Notamacropus eugenii: one gene and its partners. The protein of the gene in region 1 interacts with the protein of each later gene in a pairwise test. Links are inferred from orthologs where the notes say so. Each region holds a gene or a part of one and is shown in the gene's direction. Other genes may lie near its edges. The genes, in order: ATPAF2, RAD54B, FSBP and EWSR1.

The links.
Region 2: the proteins of ATPAF2 (region 1) and RAD54B interact in a two-hybrid assay, tested with the Homo sapiens proteins (2 studies listed by BioGRID). The two-hybrid records come from large-scale screens. The link is inferred for Notamacropus eugenii from reciprocal best matches to the Homo sapiens genes ATPAF2 and RAD54B.
Region 3: the proteins of ATPAF2 (region 1) and FSBP interact in binary tests that used the Homo sapiens proteins (3 or more experiments, as listed by UniProt). The two-hybrid records come from large-scale screens. The link is inferred for Notamacropus eugenii from reciprocal best matches to the Homo sapiens genes ATPAF2 and FSBP.
Region 4: the proteins of ATPAF2 (region 1) and EWSR1 interact in binary tests that used the Homo sapiens proteins (3 or more experiments, as listed by UniProt). The two-hybrid records come from large-scale screens. The link is inferred for Notamacropus eugenii from reciprocal best matches to the Homo sapiens genes ATPAF2 and EWSR1.

Annotation. Positions count from the first base shown.
Region 1 is NC_092874.1:335,298,451-335,306,103, reverse strand, and holds the start of ATPAF2 (ATP synthase mitochondrial F1 complex assembly factor 2), read left to right. Parts: upstream 1-4,639; 5' UTR 4,640-4,909; coding exon 4,910-5,060; intron 5,061-5,113; exon of another isoform or gene 5,114-5,140; coding exon of another isoform or gene 5,141-5,228; intron 5,229-7,118; exon of another isoform or gene 7,119-7,653. Other genes in the region: GID4 (glucose-induced degradation protein 4 homolog), read right to left, coding at 3,963-4,151. UniProt on the Homo sapiens protein: Plays a role in the assembly of the F1 component of the mitochondrial ATP synthase (ATPase).
Region 2 is NC_092875.1:158,614,753-158,622,528, forward strand, and holds the start of RAD54B (DNA repair and recombination protein RAD54B), read left to right. Parts: upstream 1-4,770; 5' UTR 4,771-4,866; coding exon 4,867-4,901; intron 4,902-7,776. UniProt on the Homo sapiens protein: Involved in DNA repair and mitotic recombination. May play an active role in recombination processes in concert with other members of the RAD52 epistasis group.
Region 3 is NC_092875.1:158,658,801-158,666,117, forward strand, and holds the start of FSBP (fibrinogen silencer-binding protein), read left to right. Parts: upstream 1-4,305; 5' UTR 4,306-4,395; coding exon 4,396-4,769; intron 4,770-7,317. UniProt on the Homo sapiens protein: Transcriptional repressor that down-regulates the expression of the fibrinogen gamma chain. Represses transcription of GSK3B gene promoter via its interaction with APBA1.
Region 4 is NC_092875.1:16,381,641-16,388,474, reverse strand, and holds the start of EWSR1 (RNA-binding protein EWS), read left to right. Parts: upstream 1-3,829; 5' UTR 3,830-3,913; coding exon 3,914-3,926; intron 3,927-4,323; exon of another isoform or gene 4,324-4,720; coding exon of another isoform or gene 4,721-4,727; intron 4,728-6,834. UniProt on the Homo sapiens protein: Binds to ssRNA containing the consensus sequence 5'-AGGUAA-3'. Might normally function as a transcriptional repressor. EWS-fusion-proteins (EFPS) may play a role in the tumorigenic process.

The DNA of each region.
Region 1 (7,653 bases):
ATCTGCCCAAGACATTTGCCTATGACTCTCCTGACTTTTTAAAAGGATGGACATGACAGAGATAGGTCCAAGACTTCCATCTACTGACACATAACCAGTTGGCTCAAAACACTACTTTTAAGACCTTTATTTTGGCGCAGACCTTAATATGTATCCTGCCTAATGGTATCCCAAAGAACACAGTAACTCTTTTAAGACTAACTCCTTTTTTGACCTATGCCTGTGTGATGTCAAGGTAGCAGACTTTAGGGAGCACTTTTCAATAACCATCAGGCATTAGCTTTCTCTAGCCAGTTATATATACATAGGAACTGAAGAAAAGCCTCTTAAAAGATGATCTAAAACAACATCCTGTTTGTAACTCTTTCAGTTTTAGTTATCTCTTTCAAAATACCTCTGTACCCGTTTCAATTTCTCTATACTAAATTATCAGTCTCATGATTAAACAGTTTATTCATATGTTCCTAGTCTGTCCATTATTTTATACTAGTCACCATCTTTTATCATTAACATGAAACTGGCAGAACATGATGCATATGTATATGATGGGGCTACTAGTAGCTGAAATACTATTTTTATGTCTTAAGAGCAAAGTGTTAGAAGCACCAAAAAAATTAAAATCATAGGAAACACTTTGAAGGAAAATAATTTTTATAACTTGTTATTTAAATTATAACAATTTGTTATAATTTTTATTATAACAACTTAAAAGTTTAGTTAGCAACACTAACTAACCAGAGAGGTTAGATGTCTATATTTCTGAGTTTAAAACTACCATAGCCATTTTAAAAATAGACACATGGGATATTTTTAAGAACCACAAAACTCCCCACAACACCAAAATTCAAATGTTAAGAGGTATTTGGAACATCTTTGTAGCAGCTGGGAAGATAGGGAGATTAAAGAGATCTTGTGAATGAAATACAAACACTTAGAAATTTTATATGTATACCCAGGAAGAGAAAACCTGGGGTTCAAATCCTATCTTAGCCCCTTCTCATCTACGTAACCCTGAGACAAGCCAAAACCTTCCTGGGCCTCTCACTGTCCTCATGTCTAAGGCTGGTTGGTTCAGTTCTAGATCTATGATCCTATGTATCAAAACAAGTCTTCTACAGAGCCAAAACATTTGAGCACGGTTTTATGTGACTACCATACTGCATGTGAAAACTGTATTTTAAAGGCTTTCATGTGTTGCTAACCTTAGGAATCCAGCACTGTTTCATGAAACCAACCTGCTGCAGGCTGCAATAAAGAACTTTTACCATAACAATATATATATATATTTGTATATTACTTCACAATGATAAAGTGCTTTCACATATTTCTTGGAGTCATATATATTATTCTGGATGGATCATCACAACTGTGATATTTAGCATACATACTATTTTCACTTTGTGGATGAAGAAAGAGATTAAGTCTTGCCTTTCTCAAGGTCACAGCTGGTTAGTGGCAGAGTTGAGTTAGGTCTTTCTAATTCTAAGACCAACAATACTCTTTCCACTACACAGCACTGCCTAAATTATAAATGACATATAAAGTTCTAATCTACAACCTTGTCTATATATGCAGCACTCAATGAAAAAACATATATGGGGGTTTAACAAGTGAAGGAAAGATACCAGGGTGACATGGATATTGATGAGATGGGCTGTGGTTGTTTTGTTTTTTGTTTTTGCATCTGTGACCTGGCTAATATATTTTAAGAATAACAAAACATCAAAGAACCAGAATGTCCTACATTCAACCCAATACTTCATCTATTCTGTTTAAACTGACCATTATGAAGCTTGGAATTAACAAGGAGAAGATTAACAGTGTATATTGTAACTAGAGTGTAGATGAGAAAGATAAAAGAACATGTTTAGCAAAAAGGAGCCACTCAGCACATCTGGACACAAAGGTGCTCTCTTTATATTCCTTCCACAGTGTCCTAAGATTTCCTTTGCACTTGGCTTCTTGGATAGCAAGAAGTACACTGCAGCAAAAAAAAATGTAGACCCGGTAAAATGCATGATATGATAGAATTCTTCTCAAGGCAGAACCTCAAGAATGAATACGGTACAAGCAAACAGGCCACAGGGACAGAAGTAGCCAGGTCCTAGCTGATGGAGCAACAAGAATGCTAGCTTGATGAACGAGCTCACCATCCACCTGCAGAACAAGCACAGCCTTTACCTGACATGACTACAATCCACATTAGAAAGTTCCGTTTGAGCTAAGATGTCTTATAGCCAGCATCCATGGGCTTCTACTTTTAGCTGTCTTAAAGTTCCAGTCCTCATCCTGATCTAAAATATCAAATTCAGCAGACTCATTCTTATCCTTTTCCATGATATACATCCTCACCTGCCCCAAACTTAGGTTGTCCTCAAATGTGGAAAAAGTGAATTATTGAGATTAAGGTCCCAAATTAGAAATCAGGGTCACAAAGAAGACAAAAACATTTTCATCTTTACAATTTATGGCTAATCTCTAGAGCTCTCTTTCACTAAGACGATTTCTGCGATGGGTTGTAAAAGACATTCGCAACTACGCTCTAGAAAGGACACAAAATTTGGGAAATGAAGAGAAAGCCTATTATATATTGTTTCTAAAATTCAGGAAGAGCACAGATAAATCACCACATTTTCTCTTAATATAAACAATATGACAAAGGATAGCAGCTAAGTTTTCAGGCCTGAAAGAAAATCATCTACCTTCCCTAAGGGAAGAAAAGAAGAGAGGTCCTCTGGTATATAGACTAGGCTAACTAAGAAGAAAATGGTTAAGGCAAAGTGCACTGGACATCTTCCCATTCCAGGAAAGGAGAATAATGATTTCCACAAGACAAGGAAAAAAGGTTTGTTTTGCGCTCAAGAACAGGGGTCCCTAATCTGGGATTCATGAACTTGTTTTTAAGGTGTCTTTTGACTAAAGGCCTATTTGATCTGAGGCAAGATGCTAGACCCTCTTAGACCAAAGAAAAAGGCATGAGTAAGGAGCAATCAAGATTGTCCATCCCGTTCACACATCCAGGACAAAATTTCACATCACCACCCTGGGCAAATTCCTCCTAAGTGGCACGGATGTGCCAGGAAACATTTCCAAAGCCAGCTCAGGGAGAGGAGGTGATGTAAGAGGCAAGGAGGACCTCTTTAATAGAGGTTCACAGAGAGAAGGAATGCTGTCTGAAGGGAGGGGAAGCTCACTGGGGGGACTAACCAGACCTCTTCCTCAGGAGAAGTGGGAGTGGTTGTTGGTCAGGTTATGAAGAGGAAATAGAGGCGAGGTACGGAAGAAAGTTGCCAGGTTTCATGGGTTATTTCAACCAGGGAGCAGGTCCCCAGATGAGGAGGAAATGAGCAGGTTCTCCAGGGATCAAAGCCTTTCTAATGAATGGGTGTAAGGCAGGAGAAGAGGATGTTCTGTGCAGCAGAGAAAGGTGGAGATGAGGGTGGGGTGGGGCAATATCAGGAGTGTCGGGGCGGGGGGCGGGGGGGTCCTACGGACAGAAAAGGACAGACTGATGTGGACAGAAGGAGAGCGGTCAGTGGGTGACTCAGGGAGGCCCCGGGAGGAGGGAAGGACAGATATAAGATATCGGGGGGCACGACGTCTGGTGGGGGTGAGGAAGGACCGAGTAGGAAGTCCGGGGACAAGAGGGGAGCAGAGGCCCCGAGGTGGAGATGGGGAAGGGAAGGCCCCCGCAGCGGTCGGGGGGTGACTCAGGGAGGCCGGCCTGGGGTGCGGAAGGACAGACGTCTACGAAAAGGGGGAATTGGGCCAGAGAACTAAGACCCTGCTTGGGGGGGAGCCCCCCACCCATTGCTGGGGGTGTCAACAATGGGGGGGAGTTCCAGGGGCCGGGCATGGGGGCCTGAGCACGGGTGCGGACCAGGAAGGGAGGCCGGCCGCGGGGAGGCCCGGGCCGGGCCGGGCCGAGGAGGCCGCCCGCCCGCCGCCCGCCGGGCCGGTACCTGCAGCACCACCTCCACGTCGTACGAGTTCCCCTTGCTCTTCTGGTGGCCGCGGAACTTGGAGCCGCTGTAGAGGAGGCTGGTGGCCACTCCGGGCTGCTGGGTGTTGATGGGGGGCGGCGGGATGAGGGACGCGGCGGACGCGGCCGAGGCTCCGGCCGGCGGGGGGCACTCGGTGCGGACCGGCATCTCGGGGTCCCCCGGAGCCAGGGCGGTGGGGTGGGGGAGGGGGGAGGGGAAGGGAGAGGAGGGGGGAAGGGAAAGCCGGGGAGGGGGGAGAAGCCGCCGCGGCCGCCGCGCGGGAGCCGGAGGAGGGCGGGCTGACCGAGGGGGCCGGGCGCGCGCAGGCGCGCGGGATGAGAAAGGGAGGGGAGGGAGGGAGGAGAGGGACGCCCACCCCGCTATTGGCCGACAAGCTACTCTAGCCGCCGACGGGTGCGGGAGGACTAGAGAACGGGGGCTCCCCCTCCCTGGATGCCCCCCCCCACCCCGCCCCTACCTACACACTCATGTGCGCACGCGCACACAGACACATACCCACCCACCCACACACATACTTACACTCATACACACATAAGCTAATTCAGGCCAATTGGCTCTGACCCGGTGAGGGGGCGGGAGCAATTTTAGCCGCCGCTTCTTCTTATTGGTTGGCGTGAGCCACACGTGTCCAGAGGTCGAAGGCCCGCTGGGATATGTAGTCTTTGCCTAGAGACGGAACGAGTTCGTGACGCTGATTGGCTGGGAGGGCTCGAAGGTTAGGGGACCGGCCGGTAGTGGCTCAGGGTCATATGGCGGTGGCCAAAGGAAGTTGAACTCAGCTAGTGGTGGGAGAACTCTGCAGGCGGGTCCGGTGCAACTGCCCCAACCGTGAGAGGTTGCGGTCTTTCTCCTTCACGCCCTGGGGTCCCCTCCTCGATTGCTCCCTGTCCCCGCCCAAAGGTGCTATGTGGCGAAGCTGCTTTCGGCTCGGGGCCGGAGGCGCGAGCTTCCCACGCCGTCCTTGCTTGGTCCCTGCCGCCCCCGTAGAGCCGGGGGACCAGGCCGCGCCGGCCCCGGGGCTCTGGCTCCTCCGCCGGGCTTACGCCCCCCCCGCAGGTGAGCGCAGGCGGGAGGCCCCGCTGCGGCCGGGCCTGGGCCGCAGGTAGCTCGGGGGGGGCCGGAGAGGGGCACCCGCCATGGCGGGATGGACGGACGGGCCCTGCAGCCCAGGGGTCACCTATTCCAGGGAAAACATGTGGAAGCGTGTAGCCCTAATGTATGGAGGTATATGTGTGTGTGTATATATGGATATAGATCTGCTTATATTTGTATCTGTCTGTCCATTCAGACCTACATCTGTCTGTGCCTATAACTAGGCATGTGTAGATTGAGGTAGATCCACGTAAGTAGGTGTATGTGTAGATATGTCTAGTAGATTCACCCTTTATAGATGTGTATAGCGATATGTACATATATGAAGATAGAGGTATAATCCTATTATATATAATAAATTACATGTATCACTGTACATGGTCCCAGGTTCAGTTAATTTGGGTTTTAATGGTAAATTTACCTTGGGAAAAAATTGACAAAGAACAAAGTGGAAACAGTGCATTTACTCACTCAATCTTCATACTCGCTTTTCGGCCCTATCGATGATATACTGAGGTATTTTTTGGTTGAAAGTTGGCTAGAAAATTTCTACTGCAAGTTAAAATCTGCAGGTGTCTCGTTTTAATATTTTTAATAAATGGGTTCAAAACCTGCTGAAACTTTTCATTTAGAAGATTTTTAAACAGGTTAGAAAATTGTTTCCAAAGCTGTTTAGGTTTTTTTTTTTTTAACTTTGAAGATATGAGAGTTTATAGATGACAACATAGCATTTTTAGCAACAAAATCACATGATGGAAATATTTCCAACCTTCCATTTTCCAGTGCTCTCTTACATTAGTTCTTTCAAAAACCATTCTCATTCTTAAAACATTAAAACTCATTAAAACATCACCTTTATATTGAAAGAACAGATTCAAGTTAATTTCTTCTTAAATAACTGCTAAGTACAGTACTATTTCTGACAACCACTTTCATAGCAGAAACTATCACTTTTTTTGCTAAAAGAAAAATGTATAACATCTGTAAGTTTGGTACTTGGTTATCACTGGCTATTATATATTATCTATATTATCATATATAGTATATATATAACCAGTGAACACCTGTATTGTACAGCAGATTTTCTGGTTACTTCCCAATCACATTAAACATACATACTGCTGCTTTCTCAATAAAAACAAGCTAGAGTGATTTAGTAATAGTGATCATTTCACTTTTCAAAACTTTGATGTGAATGTTAAGGGTGTGAATTAAATATTCAGTCAATTTGATTGATGTGGCTAACCAAACAGATGAATTTTAATATTTCTCCTTTAGAGGATAGGACTATCCAAGAGGCACCAAACCATCATGAGGTGATCTGGGGGGCAGTGTATGTGTTTGCTGGGGTTCGGGGGATTGTGGGAGATGCATTGACATACCTGCTGGGATTGATTGGTTTTAGTGATGGAGTAGAAGGGGAGAGGTTTAGGAGCTGAAGGCAAAGTGGGGTAGTGTTGGGCAATAATGGTTGAAGGGGGTGCTGGGGTTGTGTTTGAGAGGTGCCTGATGATTGGATGTCTAGGCAAAGGATAGATGTAACCCATCTTCTGACTGGTTGGTCGATTGGTCGTACTCCACTTCCCCCTGCCCTTCCTAGTGGATTGTCCCATACATTTTCTCCTGATTTTTCTTCAGATTTTTCCTGGTATAGAGGAAAGCAGAGATCTTTATGAGTTCCTGTAGATGAATTCTGACAGCTACTTTGCCACCTATTCTCTTGGCAGCAATTCCTTATCTGTAGACTGTCTTTTCTAACTTGAAATATATGATTGATGTCTCCCCTTTCCCTCTCTATACTGCAGAGGGGGCAGGGCAGGGAGAGAAAGGGAGTTGGCCTGGCCAGTTAGTGGCCAGTACTCTTTACCCTAATATAGTTGCTATGGGAAAGATTTCTGATCTGTCTCCACTACCTAGAAAATAATTTACGTTGACTCATTTAGAGTTTTTATCATATAAGGGAACTTGGTAGGAAATTTACTCTGTGGAAAATTCATCATGTGGCAGATCTTCCTGAATGAGTCGATGAATGAATGAAGCATTTATTAAGCACTTATCATGTATAAAAAAACTGTGGATATAAATAGAAAAGTAAGCCATTCCCTCCTTCCAAGGAGCTCACATTCTCCTGGGGAAACTCCATATGGAAGGTTTCAGCTACAAGTCAGATTGAAAGGTCCCCTGGTCCTTAGGGTACAGCAGCAAAGCAGATGGTGATGATTGATCTTCAATGCCATTTCCACTGACAAAATCCTATCAGTTTCTGTGTTGAACCATTTGACACTGGATTGAAAGCACTACAGTTCCAAAGAGAGATGTTGGCTGACCCAACTGGTCTGTGATGCTTCCTGTCTCTCCTTCAGAATGCCCTGCAGCTTCTTCTGAGTGGGCTTGCTTGACCTCCTCCATCCAATAGTTTCATATTCAGTCCTATTCAGTTGATCTGAAAGAACTCAAAACAAAGGCAGTCTAATGCTTTGTGTTTGCCCTGTGTCTTTCCTCCAAAGAGTACACAATCTAATGTTGGAAGGTCATGGTTAAAGGTGATCTTTTTGGT
Region 2 (7,776 bases), on another chromosome or scaffold:
GATTTTTTCTATTTTAATTTTGCCTTCTGTTTCTAATAGATCTGGATAATTTTCATTTATGATTTCTTGCACTATACTGTTTAAACTTTTTAAAAAATCATGGTTTTCAAGAAGTCTGATTTTTACATTACCTGTCTCTTTGATTTGTTTTCCAAGTCATTTGCTTTTGATATCAGATGACTTATGTTTTACTGTATTTTTTCATTCTTTTGAGTTTTGTCCCAATATTTGTTATTGTCTGAAGAAGTCATTGGTTTCTGCTCAGGGCCAGCCCTGAGCTGTGGCCTGGAGCTTACCTCTCCAACTGCTTTACCTGGTCTTCCAACGGTTCCGGCCCCCTCCTGTGGGGGAGGGGAATGACCAAACAGTTCACCAGAGGAGCTGCTTACTGCACTTTATTGCTTACCCCAGTTCTCCCTACCTTCCCGTGTTCCCCCTTATATAGCCTGCCGTAGCTCCTCCCATGTTCCACCCTGGAGGCAGAGCTCAGCTCCGGAAGGGGTGTTCCCAGCACCCGAAGGCGGGTTCTCACCCCCGGGGTCTCCGGGCTCACCAGGGGGCCACAGTCCAGAGCTCGGCCCTCTACAGGTTTCTCCTTGGTCTGTTCTCATTTCAGGGATTATCTTACTTGGATAAGGATTGCCACTTTGTCTTCTAAGTTTATTATTCCCATTTCATTTCTTTCAGAGCTTTTATTGCATTTTTTTTCATCTCTTCATCTCTTCTTGATAGTTATACTACATGTAATATATGTGGAGTTTTTTTTCTTTGAGTCCTTGCTTTTAGTTGTGAAGTAATTGTTCTCTGCTTCTAGGTTGATTTTTGTCTCCTTTGCATCTATAATAATTCTTTTTAGTGGTGTGTCTTCTGCTTGCTCATCTTTTAAAAAAATTATTTTATTTTTAATTTATGGAGTAAAAGAAGCATTTCTACAACATAGTACAATAAAAAAGATGATTGCACATGAAACTGCAAACTGTTATGTACAATTTGCCATTCCTTTTAAATATACAACAACATTATTATGTAAATGTCTTTTTTTTTCCTTTTTTTCTTCCCTCCCCACTCCCTCTCCCTAGAGATGGCTACTATTAGACACAAATAGGTGTTTATATGTATATGTAAAACTATTCTATACTTGTGTTTATCAGTTCTTTCTCTGCATGCAGATAGCATCTTTCTTCATGTCTTTTATAGTGAATTTGGTTATTTATAGTAGACAAAATAACTTATTTACTCAAAGTTGTTCTTAAGACAGTATTACTCTTACTGTATACGTTGTTCTCTTGATTCTGCTCTTTTCACACTTCATTATTTCATGCAAGTCTTTCCATGTTATTCTAAAAAATCTTTGCACTAATCATTTTTTGCAGCACAGTAATATTCCATCATAATCATCTACCACAACTTATTCAGTCATTCCCCAATCATGGATATCGCTTTCTTTGCCACCACAGAAAGAGCCTCTATAAACATTTTAGAGCAGAGGTTTTTTTCCTTTCTGCCTAATCATCTTTGGAAATAGACCAAGTAGTGGTATTGCTGGGTCAAATGATATATATATAGATAGATAGATAGATAGATAGATAGATAGATATAGATAGATCAAATGATATATATATATATATACATATAGATAGATAAATAGATAGAGAGAGAGAGAGAGAGACAGACAGACAGACAGACAGACAGACAGATAGTTTGGGCAAAGTTCCAGATTGCTTAACAAAGTGGTTGGATCGTTTCACTATTTCACCAACAGTGAAGTGTCCCAATTTTTCCACATCCTCTCCAATATTTGTTTGCTCATCTTTCAAGCTTTAGTTCCTGAAATGTGGCTTTGTGCCAGAACCAGACTCTGCCCCTTACTGAACTTTTGGGTAGTGTGGTCTGTCCTGCTTAGTTTTACCTAGGTTCTTTCGCTGACTGATTTTCTTTGGTTAGGTACCTTAAGGTCTTTGAGGTTCAGAGTTCTGGATCATGAGAATATTAGGGACTTGTCCTGGAGAGTCTTAAATACTACAGCCCTGGACTAGAGATTCTGGGGTCCTTCCTATTAGCTTCTGACCTCCCAGGGCTTTCTTTGGGGAGTACTTTGTTCTACATACTTTGATACACAGATTCTCAACTCTGATGTTTTCCAAAATAGTTCAATGTTGTATGTTGATGACATATTTTTTCCTCCCATACCCAGGAAGATTCTTTTAATTGATTTGGTTGAGCTCTAGCTGACAGAGAACAGAAGAAGGGATAAACTTTAGCTCTGTTGGATAAGGTCAAGTATATGAACCATAAAATCTCCCATGAGAAATGCTGAGAGAGGACCTTAGGAAATATGACAGGTTCCCTACCCTAATATCATATTTCAGATACACTTAATCCTGCTCATGGCAGGCTACTAGTGACAGTGGCAATACTCTAGTATTACTTCTCTTTTGGGCATATATAGAATCTCACTAAATTCACTTCCCTGGAAGTGGTCCCCAACTGTGAATAGATATATTTACCTACTTAAACTAGGCCTTTCTTTATTCTCTACCTTGAGTCTTCTAAACCTTTTATTCTTTCCTTATGAGAAAAATGGCCATTCATAGGGAGTCATGGTCCAAATATGTAATGATAACCTTCTCCCTCTGACCTACTATTATTCTTGCTTGGCTCTTGAGAATACTCTCAGAATTAGCTTTTTCCTTCTTCCCCAACCATTTATAGCACTCAACCTGAGAGCTGCTTGGTAATGCCACAGATTTGCTTTCCCATTTTGTCTTTGTGACACATTTATCATTGTGCATGAGCTAAGAAGGGATCATGGTGAACGTTAAAAAAAAACCAAACATTGTTTTCCCCCAAAATTTGGAAGCACAAGCCTTTTGCTTTGTATGCCTAATATGCTAATCTCATAATTTGGGTAGACCTATAAATACCATATTCTCATTCTTAGCTATCATCTGGGCACCTTCCTAAACTTAACAGTGGATTTTTTTTAAACTCTCCAAGATTCAGTTATGCAAATTGAAGTGTATTGCTACTTGAAAGGCTGGCTGGCTCTACTACTGAATCTAAGAAACTTTTTACAAAACTTTAAAATTATTATAAACTTGATAGATGTCAGCAAGCATGATTATTTACACATACACAGAAGAATAAGAGTATGTGAAATCTTGAATCTCTGTTATATATTGCCTGGTTTTTTTAAGTATATAATAAATTTAATACTATAGTTCTAAAATTGTCCTGTTTACCTATGTCTCTGAATTTCCTTTTGCTGTCTTCTGGATTCAGAAAAACCCAGGTTCAAATCCTGTCTCATATACTAACTAGTAGTATGACCATGGGCAAATCACTTAATCTCTTTGATTCTCAGTTTCCTCACTGGAAAATGAGAGGTAGTCTCACTGATAGTCTCAAAGGTCCTTTTGAGCTCCATGTCTATGATCTTTTGAGCCTATGAACTACTGGGTTTGTACTCACCACCCCTTCATATTGATACCCACATTATTCTAGAACTCCCTGCTGCGTATTATTTTGGAATTTTTCACTCTATGTTCCATTTTCATCTTGGATCCCAATTCACCTTGAAGTCCAGGACATAATGGTTTTGGGGGTAGGAGGATATAGGTGAAAAAGTATTTGGAAGGGAAGAATGTTAGGAGAAGGGGGTGCTATGGGTGAAGAGAAAAGTGATTTACTAGGTAGAGGGATCTGAGTAGGAGTGAATCTGGGATACAGGATGAGCGAATGAAAAAGCATTTATTAAGCACTTAGTATGTGCTTAACCCTGAGAATCTAAGTGCAAAAAACAAGATAGTTCCTGGCCCTCAAGAAATTTAGATTCAAATTAGAGAAGACCACACATATTTGGAAACAGTGTTCCAGGAGGTGGATTGTGGTCTAGAAAATCAAGGAGATGGTACGTAGAGAATGATAGTGTTGATTTTTTTTTGCTACTACTCCCAGAATAAAGGCAATAAGAGAGGGATGAGAGGGGAGTGAGAAGCAGAAACATGGCAGGAATATAGCCAGAAAATATCTAGGGAAAGTAATTGTAAAAGATAAGAAGGCTGGATGCTGAAGAGGAACTGATGTTGGAGCCAAAATGGGCCTAGGGAGTTTGAGACTAGTATCAACTGAGGGAAGTGGGAGGATGAGCCTGAGGAAATTGATGGAATCAAATTTGACATGCGATAAGGTTTGAGGAGATTATGAATATGAGAAATGAAGAGATAGTTATATTTTCACAGAAATAAAAGAAGAACCTAACACCGAAAGAAAGAGTGAGACAACATAGCAGGACATAAGCAAGAAACTAGCTGGTGTAGATCAGAAGTGCAGTTTGGCAACAAAGATCCATTATTAGGTCAGAAGGCAAAGGCATTTACCCGTGGTTAATAAGCTCATACATATTAACCTTATCCTCTCCCAAGGTGGGAGCAGTGTATTTTAATATACATGTGATTCATGATGAGAGAGGGACAAGGGAAACACGAATGATGTGTGTACACCTCATAGCTATTGGAGGACTTTGGAAAGGATCTCATAGTTGGAAATAGGGATAAAAGCTGACTGTGCCCAGCACTTGGTGTGCATATGTATAGGAAACCAGCTCTTGCAAGAATGTAATAAAACACTTTCTTGCCTTCATTAGTTAAGGTCCTATTCCTTTGCAAGCATGTTTCTCACAATTTGGGGAGCTCATCTGGGATCCAGGAATCAAGGAGGGGAGGAGCCAGTATGGAGAATGGGAGGTATTATCTCATTGATTTCAGTGGCCCAGAGTATGGGCAAATGGTCCGCTCTCGAGACTGCCCAAGATCCTGAGACTGTTTGGGAAACTGAAGCCAGAACACTGAGATAAATCATTGGCACATGCCTGGCAACCAGGTAACTGTGCACAAATCAAGGTAAGAAAATTGGACTATTAAATATTACCTTGATGGTTGGGATCATTCTATAAGTCTGAGACTGAGTGTGTGTGACCAAGACTATTGGTACAAAGTGAGTGTGAAGCCTAGATCTGTTGTTCTGTCCTACAAGGGAAACACCAAAAGGGGTGAAACGGGGGAGTTCAATGGTCAGTCTGAAGTCTCAGAGGGAGGGTAGAATGGGGAATAAAGGAAGTAAGGCACCAAAAGGGGAGGATTCCCCTCATAGAAAGGAAGTGAATTCTTCTGTGAGCATTAGCATTCCTCCAGATAATCCTTTGGAGAGAAAGCTAAAATATTGGAAGAATATGTCAGAGGCCAAAGATAGAGATAAAAACAAAATGATCAGGTATTGTTAGTTTGAGTGGCCAAAGCAGAGTATTATATCACTGGCCATATGTTGGCCCAAATATGGGGCTGTTGAAGAATGGCTGTGTCAGGCTCTGAATGTTTTTGTTAATGATAAATAAATGATAAATAATCCTTCTCCAAAGAAGAGTCAGGTTACTTTGGAGAGGGAGTTTGACAACCAATTGTTCCCGCTCCAATTAGAGAACCAGGGTAGTGCTAAAACATACATGAGGGAAAGGGACCCTTGGAATTCCTTGAAGTCCCTTTCTCCCGCTTAATTGCTCCTGTCAGACTCCTCCTTTGGGAGAATTGCCAGGATAGATTTAAGTGACCTATGTAAAAGTCCAGGGTGTAAGGAACAAGAAGAGCCAGGAAAAAAGTCCGGTGTGTTCCCACCAAAGCTGGATGTTTTTTGATATGCTAGATTGAGGAAAGAACTAGAGCAATGCAAAAAGGATGTACAGAATCTCCCATTCCCTGAAATCCGAAGGGAGAGAGGAAGTGAGGGAACCAATGTACCTATTAAAAGAAGTGCCAATGGGGTGAGGTGAGATTGGACTTGTAAATGCACCTCTCACAGGTACTGAGGTCCAAAATTTTAAAAAGGGAATGAAATCTCTAATTGAGTACCCAATAGGGTTAGTTGAACAATTAGACCAGTTCTTAGGACTTAATTTTTACACTTGGCTGGAAATGATGTGTATAATGAACATATTATTTTAAGGGGAAGAAAGAAGTATTATTAGAAGAGCAGCCATTCAAGAATGGGAGAAGCAACACCCTCTAGGACTGGGAGTATGGCTGTAGAGCAGAAATTTCCCAATATAGACCCAAATTGGGATAACAGTAGAGTGGCTGATAAAGTAATGATGAGAGATCTGAGGGACATGATAATTAAGGGCATAAAGGAAGCTGCCCCTACATCATAAAACTTCTTTAAAGCCTTTGAGATAAAGCAAACCAAAGAAGAAAAACCCTCAGCCTTTTTGAAGAGGCTGAGAGATCAGATGAGGAAATACTTGGGAATGGACCCTGACCCCTCAATGGCAAAAGGATTATTGAAAGTGCATTTTGTGGCTAAGGCATGACCTGATATAAGAAAGACAGTACAAAAGATAAAGGGCTAGAGTGAGAAGCCATTGGAGGAACTATTGTTGGAAGCACAGAAAGTGTTTGTGAAAAGAGAGAAAGAAAAGCAAAAACAGAAAGCTAGAATTATGGTAACTACTGTGAATGAGATAATGAAGAAAAAGCATGAACAAGGAGGATATAATTGTAAAGGTGGAAACTGGGGGGCTGAGAAACAAAGGAGTTATGGAGGAGGAAGGGGCCATAGAGGGACTTTTCACCCTGTCCAGCAGACTGGATCTTTCCATTGTGGGAAACAGTGACATTTTAAGAAAGAATGTCCCATTCTGGAGAAGGAAGAAAGGATTATTCCCCTGATGAATTTTGAGGAAGATCAGGGGAGTCAGGGGTTTTCTTATATTAGGTTCCACTTGGAACCCCTGACAAACATCAAGGTGGGACCCAGAGAAGAGGATGTGGTGTTCTTGTTAGATATGGGGGCCGCTTGGTCCTCATTGAATTTCAAACCAACAGATATCAAATTCTCAGATCAGAATCTAACTGTTTCTGGGGTTAAGAGAGGGGTATTTTCAGTACCCATATTTGAACCAGTCAGTTTAATGTTAGGACAGAGGCAGGTCACAGAGAGTCTTCTCTATATCCTTGAGGTGGGAACCAACCTGTTAGGGAGATATATAATTATACAATTAGTCTTGAAAACAGATAAGAATGAGCAAATAATAATTGGGATGTCAATACTAAAAGAAGATGAGAGGACTATTGACCCAATAGTGTGGGCTAAGGAAGGAAACAGATGGAGATTGCAGATTGAGCCTGTGAAGATCACACTAAAGAATGAAGAAGCATTACGAGTGAGACAATATTCCATCCCAATGGAAGGAAAGAGATGACTCCAGCCAGTTTTGGAAAATTTGGTAAAAGATGGACTCGGAGAACCTTGCATGTCCTGCTTTTAACAACCCTGTTCTTGTCAGAAAGATGGTTGGAATGTACAAAATGGCTCAGTATCTGAGAGCCCTAAACAAAATTGTGATGATCAGACATCCTGTAGTTCTGAACCCTTATACCCTGTTAAGTAGAATTCCCTGTGAACACAAGTGGTTCAGTGTAGTAGATCTGAAGGAGGCCCTCTGGGCCTGCCCACTAACTAAAGAAAGTAGGTACTTGTTTTCATTTGAATGGGAAAATCCCTCCACAGGTAGGAAACTACAGTATAGATGGACTATACTTCCTGAGGGATTCATAGGATCCCCAAATTTATTCGGTCAGGTATTGGAACAGGTGTTAGATAACATCCTGCACCTCTAAGGGACAACATTAATACAATATGTGGATGATTTGCTAATATCAGGAAAAAAGAGGAAAGGAGTGGCAGAGGCCATTTGAGTTGCTGAACTTTTTAGCAGAATAAGGA
Region 3 (7,317 bases), on another chromosome or scaffold:
TGGGACAGACACCTGAGGTAAAAGGTTATGTTAGTAACAGTTGGACCTGAGAGTGTTATCAAGAGGAATAATGGATAAATTGAAAAAAGTAGATTGGAATCAGGTTGTGAAGCCTTTAAATACCAGACAGTTGCTAAAAAATAATAAAAATCAGAACTGGTGTTGGATAGGCAGTGGGAAGATAAGTAAGTGTTTGATGGAGCTATGAATGAGCTAGGAAAGAAACCTTTCAGGAAAGCCATTTGGAATTATGTTAATAAAGTAATTAAATTGTTCCTACTTTCTGACATAGCCTTCCTTCTTTGGGTGTTGTTGACCTGAAAGTTTGGTTAAAAAAAAGGCCACAGGCTAAATGCCTGTTTTTAATTTAATTATTTAAATTAAATTTATTTATTTATTAATTATTTAAATTAATTTTAATTAAATTATAATTAAATTAAATTAAATTTATGTATTAAATTATTTAAATTTAAAAAATTTAATTATTATTAAATAATAATGCACATTTATTATTTAATTCCCTTGTAAGTTAACAATACATAGATCTAGGGAGCCAGAGGTTAATCTGACTAATCTCAAACAAAATTTTACAGGCTTAAATCTGTTTTAGAACAGAAAAGGTAGTCTTTGTCCAGATTTATGGTCTCCATAAGTGATTAACTAGACCATTTGAAAGGAATTTCTTAATTGCATAGGTTGTAAATACAAAAAGATAACAGAGTTTGACAATTTCAAATAGAAATTACGACCCAAGATGTCTGTGTTTTCTTTACCATTAACATGCCATAACATAATATATATCTATAAATATTAAGAAAGGTCTCCTAAGGAATGTTAAGTCAGTCCTATCTACCTTTATTGACATAGGAAGAGGCATTCTGTGAGTTTACTTTAGAGAACAAAGGGGCTTTTAGGTCCAGGCTTAATTCGAGGTCTGACCCTTAAAGTCTAAAATTTATATTAGATATTATCAGTGCATACCCTCAGAAATTCAGTGTAGTAGACAAAGTTGTGAACTTGGAATCAGGAACGCTAGAATTCAAATCCTCCACCACTTACTAGCAATTCATTCTGAGTAAGTCACTTAATCTCTTCAGCTTTGTTTCTTCTTCTGTAAAATGGAGTAATAATAATATGATGTTGTAGTCAGGATCAAAGGAAATAACACATGTAAAGGACTTTGGCAAACAAAGTACTATATGAATGCTAGCTGTTATTATTGTGTATGAGTTATTCCTATTTTTGTTGGATTAAGTGGTTGATGAAGTGCTCTGTGATTCAGTGACATTTTAGTAATTTTTTTGCATAATCCCAAATTGTTTTTTACAATGATTGAACCAATTCACAAGTTCACCAACAGGGTATTGTGTACCTGACTGTCCATAGTACCTCTACCTAGTATGTTGTGTGCTTTACTCGCTGAGAGCCAGGTCAGCTACATTTGTTCCTCTAGGTTCTAGAATAACTGCTGGGTTTTGAGGGGTTTCTTCTCTGCTCTCATGGGCTTGGTTCCCCACTTTCCCACTGTATCCTCTTCCCCTACCGCCTTTGTAAATCAGTAGAGACTTGCAGCCCTAGTTCCACTACCCACATAATATCAATTAGCTTTTACTGAGGGATATTTACTTTGATGATATAAAAAGAAGAAATTTAAAATATTACCCCTCTTCCCTCAGCAACCTTGTCTTAGATCAGTTCCTGCCCAGTATTGGACCCACCAAATTCAGGTCCACATAGCGCAAGTATCAACAAGTCCTCATCTCAACTACCTGAGTCCAGAACATCATTTCTGAAGATCACTCCTTTCCCCTCAGGACATTGGTGCTGCTGGGCTGGCTGCAAAACCCTGCGTGGACTCAGACACAAGTTCCTGCGTCTTGTTCTCTTGACTTTTGAAAACATTCAAGATTGAAAGCTCCATTCCCTCCACCTATAACAGGAAAAGATCAAGCACAGAGGCCATAGACCAAAGTCTTTTCACACAGGGTCACTAAAAGAAGGAGAGAATGTCCCAATAGTTACACCACCAAAGCACACATAAAGTAGTAATGACCAAAGGACCTAGGTGGAGGCTGGCTTAGCTTTTGAAGATATCTTCATTGTAGTTACTCAACTAGTTGAGAAAAGCTTCCCCCTAACCTTATGGTTAGCAGACCAGAACCAGTTAGAGAATATCTAAGTCTTCTTAGACTTAAAGTCAAATGATTCCCATTCTTTTCAAGGTATTTCCATTATACATCATTCCAGATCTTCTAGTATCAGGCGCCTCAGCTTCTCTACATGGGGAGAAGCCTTCCCAAGGTGCTCTGCACATGTACCAGACCCATTATACCTCTAACATTGACTATTACCGTTAAAACAGTAGATTAATGTAAATGATAAATGTTATTTCTGTTTCTGTTGTTGATGCTGGGACAATCATTCATTGTCCACGAAAGGCTGTGATAAGCTACTGTAATTATTGAAAAGTACTTCTTTATCTATTTAAAATACCTATTACTAACTTCATTCACCATATACTAGTACCTGGTATGGAAATTCACTTAGCTCCGTACGGCCTGGTTTAGTCTACTCCCTCAAACCGTAGGTCATTTTGCTTTCCTCCCTGAATGATAATGTTGCTTCTTGTTGCATTTAAATACTCCTTTCTCAGCCCTGTCAACAGGAACCTGGAGCAGTAGATGTAGAATTCCTGAAGCAATTCTTTATAGATTCTAACATCTTGCAAGTTACTTTACTCTTCTCACCCTTTCTCTTTTCATTCACTTTAAAGCAGTGAGTTCCCTGATCTCTGCCTTCCTAGAATGTCCAAGAAGTTGAAATTCTCAGGATATTGATATTCAAGAGGGAACTTTTGTAGTATTTATTATTCAAGGAAGATTAGACTATACAATATTATTTCCTTAGCTTTTTATTCTCTGGTTTACCACTTTTTCCTTTATATAGATACTTAAAATGTAAATTTTTTTTTAAACAGACAGCTTTGTAGAGTAATCTGCTGCAGCATGTTATCCCTCCTTCCTTTCCTCTCCTTAGAATGTAAGCTCCTTGAGGGCAGTACTGTTTTACTTTTGCCATGGTATCCCTAGTATCTGGCACAATAGAAGCCATTTAATAAATGCTTGTCAATATATTGATTGAACATGAGTAATGTAATAATAGATGCTATGAGTTGCTTCTCTATTTATGTCTCGTCCTCAAAAGAATTAATAAGACCAGTTTGGAAATTATGACAGTGGTAGTGAATTGGCCTAGATGCATTATAGTTCATTTACATATGTTAAAATCTCTGTAATCCTAGAGAAAATAAGTGTAATGACTGCTTTATTCAGACTGGAATTCAAATGTCCAAACCAATGTGACAAACTGATACTACTGCTCTGTTTCCTTTTGTGGTCCCGTGTGTGTGTGTGTGTGTGTGTGTGTGTGTGTGTGTGTGTTTACTCGTGCACGCAGAGCTAAACTAATATCTGTTTCTGTTATAATACTAAACGCATTTTTTTATTGCTTGCAGTCTTACAGCTTGATTTTGCTAGGTCTCAATGAATAGTGATTTTACATATGATATAGCATATTAGCATATATTTAAGAGTTTCATTGTAGTAAGAATAATTTATTCCTCAAAAGAAAGGAAGTCCTACTTACCACCTTCAGTTTTTAGATCATATTTCCAACCAAACCTTTTACATTTTAAGAAAAACTGTACCAGAGGATAAGATAGACTGGAAAATGGAGGGGAAGCTTAGCTTTACTGTGGAGTCTGAGTCTGGGTGTAACCTAACTAGCTAGAGGATATGCAATTCATGATTGACAGCAGGACTAGCATTATGCAAATACTGTAAGGGAGAACAGCAGCTCAGGAACAGTGATCAGGGGCTCTGTTAGGGATCTTTCTACACACGCCACTCTAGTTTTTCATTCTTCTGTTTCCTGTGTTTGCAAATAAATAGCACAAAACAGTTTTTACTTCATTTGTCCTCACTAAAAGCAAAGCTACAATGCAGTTTCAGTTTATCAGCTAGATAACACATGCGAGAAACAGATATTCTCATTAAATTAGGTAATTTTTAGGAGGGCACCATGCTTATCTTTGGACCTTTGTGTATTAAATCCTGTTTAGGGCTGTTCTCTTTACACACAAGTGTGTTTTACTTGTGCCTTCCTGTCTTCTTCAGTGAAAAGCCTTATGTAGGTCAGGCTTGGCTTAAGCAGATTTCCTGAACCTGCGTCAGCTTAAGCTGGAGGAATTTTAATAAACCCTCCCCTGTAGGCGTGGGCCTAAATGAGGCTAGCCTAGTTAAGCCTGATCTTTTTTTCTGTTTGTGAAAAAGAGCTGAGCAGAGCCAGAGACTGCATGGTGGTTTCAGAAACTGCCTACTTAATTCGGAAATAACAATGGTTGGAAAGGCTAGATCTTCTAATTTTACATTATCTGAAAAGCTTGATTTGCTAAATCTGGTGAAGCCATATGTTAAAATTCTTGAAGAGCACACTAATAAACATTCAGTAATAGTGGAAAAGAACAAATGCTGGGATATCATAGCAGATACATATAATGCTATTGAAGTAGATCGCCCTCCTCGTACAGCACAAGGCCTGCGTACCCTCTATAAAAGGCTCAAAGAAAACGCCAAACAGGAGCTCTTGCAGCAAAAGGAGACTCTGTTAGATCATAGGAGCAGTATTTCTGAGCCAACCAAGAAAGTTGTGGAAATGATTCCCCAGCTTTCCAGTGTATGCCTAGGAAGAGACAAGAACAATATACAAAGGTAAGGTTTACTTTACTTTTTTTACTGGAAAATTATGGCGCCTCCTATCTTTTGAGCTTGGCTTTGCTGTCATACTGAGATACAGATGTGCACAGTAAACCAGTACAGATGGGGAAATGGTGCCTTTGTTTTGCTTTGTTAATTGCAAAAAAGTCAACTTGTAAATGTCTCTGCATTAAATTTATTTTTATGTGTTTATATTTACTTCTGTCCAGTTTCCAGGTAGTGAGATTGAAAAAATAAATGGGATGAAGTTTGTGATCGCAACCCATATCCTTTATCTCATTTAATAGTGAATTATGTAAATAGAGGTTCAAAAAAGTTATCCCTTCACTTCTACTGCTCATTTTAGGCAAATTGCTCATAAGAACTATATTTTATGTATAACTTTCAATAAATTTTCAATTTGATATCATGGAAGATAAACTGACTCTTTAATACCTCCTAATGGTATTCATAAATTATCATTCAGTCTAGATAGTTGATATACTTCTAATGTTTTACAATTTAATTACAACCCTTAATGAGTAATGAGAACATTATTTTGCATGTTAAGAAAAAGTTTAAATAATTTTTGCCAGCTTGTTCTATATTAGAACATTTATTTTTAAGTAGAAAAGTTTTTGCTTTTTTGGCTTTTTCTAAATTAAGATTGATAATTTCCCTTTGTTGTATTTTAGCACTCATTAAGTGATTATTTTGATCTGAGTCACAGGTGAAAATGGAGGTATGAAAGCTTTTTCTTAAAACTTCCTAACTATGCTAAACTTCCAACTTGTAATAATATCTCCACAAGCAGTTTTTTTCTTAGGGTGAGTAGACAGACATTTGTGTTCAATTTTGGTTAAATTTGTACACTTAGCCACTCAACTGAAAATCATCCAGGACATTCACTTAACACATCCAAGTTTAAATAGTATGAAAGCTGAAAAGGTCAGCTTAATTAGCATTCTACTCTGATTAGATAATTTTTATTTGCATTTATTGTGGATTCCTTTTAAGAGGTGTGACTTTTCATTCATTCAGCAACCAATGTCCTCCAAATAAAACTTCCAGAGCTTTTCCTCTTTGTGTAGACTTTATAATTCTAGAATTGTTATTCTATAGTGAAATATTTTTTACGTTAAGAAGGCAAGAAGAAGAAAATTATCACCCAAACGTGATATCAGTTTGTTTTTATACTTAGCTGAGAGATGTTTAAAAAAAAACAACGAACTCATTTTTACAGTTAGATATTGGTTATAATTAGTTGACAATATAGGACAAATAGGGGAAAATAGAATGTCGGTGTGAGCGATCTAATTCATAGTTAAAACAAATAGAATGATTACTGATTGTCTTAGCCTGACATACTTTTCAAAATTAACATATAATAACAGGGAAATTTATAGGAGCTTTCCACTAGCTAGTTATCAGAAAATGCTTTTTTCTAGTATTGTAGGGGAAAAGGTCTCTTGAGTTGCATGTACAATGTCTTTGTACAGTTTCATGTTTGCAGCTTCATTGCAAGGAAAAATATGCACAAAGCTTAGATTTTGGATTATATATTTTTAAAATGCTGTTACTGAGAATTAAGTATAAATGTCTATGTCTGCTTACCTTTTGAACTGTCCAATGAAATATACTTTAATAATAAAGGTTCGTGTACAATGGATCATTTGATCCCTTTACTAACCTTAGGAGGTGAATAGTTTATGATTATTTCCATTTTCTCGATGTAGAAACTTGGGCTTATGGAGTTGAAATGACATGTTCAAGGTAATTTAACTAATCAGTAATAGAGCTGCAATAAACACCAGCTCTTCTGTCCAGTGCTTGCCTGTCACTTAATGCTGTCTAGAAATTTGAGTGTATTAGAGAAACTAGTTAGTTGATGTGCATTCTCTATAATGAATGTTCAAAGTATGCAAACTTTTCCTAGGTTGAGTAGGATTATGGAGAATGCCTTTAAAAGATTGTATACTTTGTTACTTTGTACAATGTATATATTGTAGTTTTCTGCTGTCTTCTACATTTTATTTTTCTTTTTCCCACCTGTCTTCACGTTTCTCCTACTTCTATTAAGGGTTACCTCTTTTCCTTTCCTAATATTAATAACCTTTAATATTTTTCCTGTTTAATATTATAGATATTTATTATACAATTTGAACAGTTTAAAATGTAACTAATTAATATCAGATTCCCTGAAAATAATTCTGTAAACTTATTTTTCATTACCTTTTTTGTTTGTTTAAAACAAGAGCCTGTAATTCAAGTGACCTGAGCTCTAATCCCAGCTTTGGTCAAGTTACTTACCATCTCTACTTCTGAATTTTCTCATGTCCAAAGTAAGGATATTGGACTAAATCTTGAAAGTCTTTTCCAGGTCTTAACTATTAATGATTTCAGTAATACTATAAAATAATTTACCTATTGATTTTATCAAATGCCTTGTTCAATCTTCAGGTGGAAAAGCATCACTATGAATAAGAATGTCTGATTGTACTACTTTGTACAATTTGTTTTATATATTCTTTGGTTTTTAAGTTCCTTTTTTCTAAAATTGACA
Region 4 (6,834 bases), on another chromosome or scaffold:
CTGTAGGACCAGATAGCTTTCTTGACCCCTTAACCTGTATTTCTTGTTACCCAGTGGTAAGAACATTACATTTGGTCCTAACACTTTGAGTTCTAACCTCCTTAGCTCCCTCCCTCTCCACCCCTTCCCCTTGAAAGACAGGCAATTCAATATAGGCCATATCTGTTTAGTTTTGCAAATGATTTCCATACTAGTTGTGTTGTATAGGACTAATTATATTTCCCTCCATCCTATCCTGTCCCCCTTTACTTCTATTTTCTTATGGTCCTTTCCCTCCCCATGAGTGTTGACCTCGTATTGCATTCTCCTCCCCATGCCCTCCCCTCCATCCTCCCCCCGACCCTGCAGAACCTATAATATAAGAATAAAGTTCAAATAGGATGCTAGCAGGTGGCAGGCTGGCTTGAGTTTTCCCTACCATGGGTTCCAGTCTAGACTTCTCTTCCACCACATTGATCTGCCTTATAGATACATAAGTGACTGCCAGGTCCTCTCAATTACCCTTCCTAAAGGGTAGGGACTGGGTCTTCCAAGATTTCAATATGACCTACAGAATCGATAAAAATAGTATGTACCCTGAAGGCCTTCAAAGGGAGTTCATCATTAACCTTCACAATTTATTCCACAAATATTTTTAAGGATCTATCAGGTATAAGGAGCTCTAAATTGGGAGTGAATAAATCACAACAGCTGCCCCCAGGAAGGTTATAGGGGAGATAAGATATGGGTTTAGTTGATGCGTGGGGTTAAATCCCATCTTCTGCCTCTTCATATCTACAAAAGCTTCCCAAGGCCTGAAATTTGCTCCCTTTTCACTTTCCCTTCCATCAAAGCACTGGGATTGGTGCTTTTTTTGGGCTCCTAGACCAGGCCTTCCCTGATCTTTCTCAATTAGCTGTCAATTTATCAGGAAGCATTTATTAAGCATCTACTACATGCTAAAAGAAAGGAAAAACAAACTTAAAATCTAATGAGGGAGGCCCCATGCAAACAACTACGGATAAAAGAGGTGTATGTGCCCAGAAAATTGGAGATGATCATCAGAGGGAAGGTAATGGGATGAAGGAGGATTGGGATAGACTTCTTGTAGCCAGGAGTTTAGCTGAGCCTTGAAAGAAGGCAGGGAAGTTGGCTGCAGGTAGAGATGGGGAAGGAGACGATTTCAGGCATTTCAGTGCAAATACCCAAAGGTGGGAAATGAGAGGGAGGGTTCTAGGTTGAGGAACAGCCAAGAGGCCCATGCCACTGGATGGCAGAATGTGAGGATGGCATCAAGACTGGAGACATAGGAAGGCACCAGGTTATGAAGGCTTATGAACATCAATCAGGGTTTTCTGTTTGATCTTGAAGGAAATAGGGAGCCTCTGGAGTTTATAAAGTAGGGGGTGGTGGTGACATGGCCAGACCTTCATTTTGGAAAGATCAGTGTGACAAGTGGATGGAGGATGGCTTGGAGTGGGGGGACTCAAAGCAGGCAGACCCTCCCTGCCCTAGCAAGCTATCACAATAGTCTGTGCCTGAGGTGATAACGGTCTGGACCAGGGTGGGAGCAGGGGCAGAGAGGAGAAGGGGGTATATTCGAGATATTTACAAAGATAGAAACATGAGGCTTTGGCAATGATTGGTAAGGGAGGAGGTGAGGATGATATCTAGTACCCTGGAGAGTACCAGGGACTGGGGAGGGTTTTTATTGGGCAGCAAAGTGTCAAAGTAGATAAAGACTCATCTTCCTGCGTCCAGCACAGCCTCAGATATTTACCAGCTGTGTGGCCCTGGACAAGTCACTTCACCCTGTTGGCCTCAGTTTCCTCATCTGTAAAATGAGCTGGAGAAGGAAATGGCAAACTGCTCCAGTATCTTTGCCAAGAAAACCCCAAATGGGGTCACCAAGTGTCAGACACAACCAAAAACAACAGAGTTTTATTAGCACATTCTCCCTTCTGAAATTAACATTAGAGCCATTTGTGTACCTGTTCTATCACCAGTAAACTATAAGGTCCTTGAGGGCAGGTGGGACTCTCACATTTGTCTTTGTCTTCCCAGCTAGTGCCCTGCATGTCGTAAGCACTTAATGTTTGTTGACCAGAAATAAATCTGAAACAGTATTTCAATCAACCAACATCTAGGGAGTGCTTAGCATGTACCAAGCCACATATTTCCATTGTGGATTCCTCTGGATTCATGTTTTCTTATCCGAAATGTCCCATAAAACATCTCTCGGCTATTCTGGAGGCTTTCCTCTGGCTATTTTTAAATTTGGTGGGTAGCAGTGAACCCACTGAAACATCAAACTATTATCTCTTGCTCTCCATACATGGCTGGGTCATCTCTTTTGCAGATCATACATTTAATGATATTCCTTTCCACCAAGATCTTATTGTGAATATGCTGGAGAGGGGTAAAGGTCTATGAGTGAAGAAGGATGGAAATAGCATCGAGTTCTTTTCGTGCAGTGATTGGCTTTGCCTTTTTTTCTCTTCCTCTTCAAAAAATCTATATATACTTTTTTGGTTACAAGGCATGTCTCTCAGGTTGAGGACAAAAGATATGGGGGGAAATGTAGGTGATAGCAAAACCAAAAGGTATCGCTAAAAGCAATTTTTAAAATGTGGAGACGGCTTACATCTCTCAAAAGACAATGAATAAATAGAATTTGTTACAAGGGTTTTCTTTTTCAACAGGGCAGGAGACAGAGACAAGGCGAATTTTTGTTCATTGAAAAAAATCAAATTTTACTTAAATTTAAAAATTGAGTGCTGGCAGGAACCCCAGAAGGCATCTAATCCAATTCTCCAGCCTGCATTTTACAGGTGAGAAAGGTCGGACAATTTGTCAAGGTCACACAAAGCATCCTAGATTTGACTTCACGTCGGACACTTTCCACTGTACCGCGTGGATCAGAATAGTATGTGTCCAAGAGGATCCTATGGACTGGCTGCGAGTTCTTCTCCGGACCTCAGCTCCCTCTACTGTAAAGTGAAGGGGCTGGACTAAAAGAGGTCCGGCGACCGGCTGAAACTTTGAACCCAGATCAGGCAGAGGATCCATGCATTTGGAGATAGGCTTGGGGTGGGGTCTGAGTTCAAATACTGACGGTCTGGACAAGCCAGTCCCCTTATGGGTTTCCTCTTTTGTCCGGGTCGGGCCCCCTGGGCGGACTCGGGCCAGTCCCTTGTCCCCTCTGGGCCTCAGTTTCCTCATCTGTAAAGTGGGGCATGGAGGGGCTGGGCCCTCCCAAGGTCAGCTCTCCGGGAGGGGGAGTCGATGCCCCTTGGAGGGGCAGGAGGCTGGGGGGTCAAACCCAGACTTCCAGAGCCAAGGGTACAAAGACCCCCGGCCATTTCAAGACTCGGAAACTGATACGCCAAGTGCCATCGAAGCCCGGGCCAGCCACGTGGCTCTCCCTCTGGCGGAGCGGGTCCCAACCTGGCCCCCCCTCCAGACTCCCCCCTCCACGATTAGTCAGCAGTTGTGCCACGGCCCCAGGATCCCTTCCCCCAACGCTCCGGCTCGTCTTCGTTTTTCCTCGGGGAGGACTATTGTGGGACGGTCCCTAACAAACCCAGGACGGAACCATTCTTCCAATCTATGCCCCGTTGGGGAGTAGGATCGGTGACCGCCCCGCCCCCAGGGCTCGTTCGTAGGGGCGGTTCGTGGCGCTTCAGGAGATACTTAGACGCCCCCAGCCTCCCGACCCCACCCCCTCCCGACTGAGGCGAGAGTTGGGTCGGAAAGCCCTCCCCTCGCCTCTCTCCGTCTCCTTCGCCTCTTCCCCTCCCCCCCCGCGGACCAATCCTAGTGGTAGAGCCCGAGGTTGTGCGGTCCGCGCCTGCGCAGTGCGGCGCCGAGAGGGCAAGCGACCGAGGGAGAGAGAGACGGACGTTGAGAGAACGAGGAGGAGGAAGGAGAGAAAATGGCGTCCACGGGTGAGTATGGCGCCGGGGCCCCAGGGCACGCCGTGCCGGCAGCCGAGGGAGCTGAGGCCTTCGGGGTTGGGGGCGCCACCGCGGGGGTCTTCTCGGGGCCTGGGGGGCGGCGGGTGGAGGCGGCGCTGCGCGGCCGGGCCGCGGGGCGGGCTTGGGGCCTACCTTCGCCCTTCTTCCCTTCCCCCTCCCCCTCCCCGCCGCGGGCGGGTGGGATTCTGGAACCTTCCGCCGCCCCCCTCCCCCTTCCCGGCGCGCGGGCGGGTGGGCGGGGAGCGGGCCGGGTGGGGGCCTCGGCTCGTTCGCGGCGGGGGCGGGGGGCGCGCGGCGACGGCGGGGGCGCGCGGCGGGAGGGAGGGGGGCGGCCGTGCGCGCGCGCTCCCGCTCCCGCCGCTTCGCGCCCGGGTTCGCGTTGGCCCGGCCGGGCCGCCGTCGTCCGCCCGCCGCCGCTTCCATTGTGTCCCCGGGAGAGGCCTCCCCGCGGCCCGCGCGCACTTCCCGCCACGTGGGCCGGCCCCTGCCGGGACCCGCAGCCGCCACGCCCTGCGAGTGGCCGCTCCTCGAGGGCAGGCGCCGTTTGCTCCGCTGATGCCCCGGAGCCGCCCTGATGCCGGTGGGAGGGCGCCTCCGGGCGGGGAGCTGCCTCCGAAGGGGTTCCCCGGGGGCGGGACGGGGCTGGGGGCGTTAGCGGAGGACCTGTCACCTGCCGCCCCGCGGCGGCCGGAACCTGCCCGTTACAGCGGAGGAAACTGAGGCAGGCCGAGGCGGCGAGACCTCCCCCTCCGGTCTGGGCCGCTATGGCCGGTAAGCCAAGCCCAGCCCCTGCCCTCGAGGAACGCCCTGGGGGGGCGGCCGCCGCGGGACCCCCTGAGCCCGGGAAGGGAGGGCTTAGAGCGGCTTGGCCCCTCCAGCCACGAGTCCGCGAGGCCTTTGTCTGCCCTGCTCTCGGCTGCTCTCCTGGGATCCGTGGTCTGGACGGGAGGGGGCCCGAGGGGCCGCTTCGGGCCTTTTAATCCTGGGCTGGCGGACGCTCTCAGAAGTAAGCTGGAAGGGGAAGTGCTGAGCTCGCAGTTCTGGACGAGGGGAAGCGACTTGTTCGTTTGCCCAGATTTTGAAAGGGAGCTGGGATCGTGCTGCCTTTGGGAGAGACTGTGACTTTAGAACCCCTGGAGTGCCTTCGTGGGCCTTCAGGCGGTTCTGAGAGACGGAGTCCGCTGGCCCTACCGTCTCTGGGCGTTAGAGTGAAACAACGGTAAAATCTTGTTGGACTGGAGTTGGAAGGGATCTGCTCTGAAATGTAAACTGTCTCCACAGTTTTCTGTTATTAGAAGAACTTTGCGTTATCTTTTCCGCTAATTTGTTTTTTTGAAATTAGCAAATTCGTAGATAGGTAGAGGTACCCAGAGCCATGTATCTAGGTAGCTCAACTTAATGGTGTTTCCGTGGATTATTCGGAATCTCTGACCTAAAAAGAACAAAAGGCAGGACTTATCTTGAATTATGGCTAAGTAATATTTGTACTTTTTGGCTTCCAGGATTGTTGGAAAACCTGGGTTGATTAAGTGTATGACGAGAGAATCTTTTAGCTAGCTTTTGGGCTTAAGGAAAGTTGTTGACTTATTAAGCTCTATGCATTAGTTTAAGATGTAATTGCTGTGAAGGATTTCATGCATTTAGGAATAAGCCAATTCAAATGTAATTAGCTGTTCCCTCCAACTTTCCATGAATTTGTTTTATTTCCTGGGGGTATTTGGAGCCTCTTAAACTTAATGGTTGTGGGAGGGAACTGAGAGGACGTTACCCTACTTAGGTCTCTGCCCCCTATTAGATACTGCCCTGAGGCACTCTGGCTTCTGGCTTCTATCCCTCCGTTGAACAATAAAACCTGGGTCTTTAGATACAGACCTAAGTAAGATGGGAGTGACCCTAGAAAGAAACCTTTGTGTGAAATGCACAAAGAATGGGAAAGTGTTTTTCTTTGCACTCTACCTACATTTCTCCTTCATGCCTTTCGAAGAGGAATTGCTCCTGCCAAAACCTAGAGAAAGGGGGGAAGTAGATTTTGAAAGCTTCTCCTTCTCTCCTGCAGCATGTAGTATTTGATTTTGATAGCTAATCTAAAGATATACTTGTCCTTGATTGAATTCATTCGGTATAGGAGCATTGGGTGGGTAACTAAGTCCCTAAAAGTGGCTTGGTCAATACTTGTTGACTTTAACGTGTTTTTGCTCTACTCGACCTGAGGAGGGAGATATCCTTCACTAAAAATTTATGATGTATCTAGTCTGACTACTGTTGTTAATAAACTGCATTCATTAAGGTGTGTCTTTGAAGTCATTCCCCACCCCCAATTTTATGGTCTTCTGCACAGTGAGATTGGATTTTTAACTTCTTATGGTTCCCACTGGTACTTTGCATCCCTTCTCAGAAAGTTTTTAAATGCAGAAAATAAAATAGAGGATTACAAAGGAAGCCAGTTATAGTTATAAAAAAATTCTATGTATGTGGACCCCAGATTAATGACCCTGGGACTAGATGGTCATCAGAGATTCTCTTTCAGTTTTGGAGTAGTTTGTGTAGACATTATTTTATCTTCAGACTTAATAATAATAATGGCTAACATTTACATAATGCCTCTGTGTTTCAAACATTATGTTAAGTCCTTCACAAATACTATCTCATTTGATCCTCACAACCCTTCCAAAGGAGAGGGTAGGTGCTATGCTGCTATTTTCCTCATTTTACAGAAGAAGAAACTGAGACCGAGAGGTGCTAAGTGCCTTTCCCAGTGTCACAGGTGGGCTCAATTGGAACCCTGGTTTTCCTGACTTGAGACCTAGTGCTTTATCCACCTAGCCACCTAAACTTGTTATGCAAAGCACATTGTCCGAAGACATTAGATAGTTTGTAT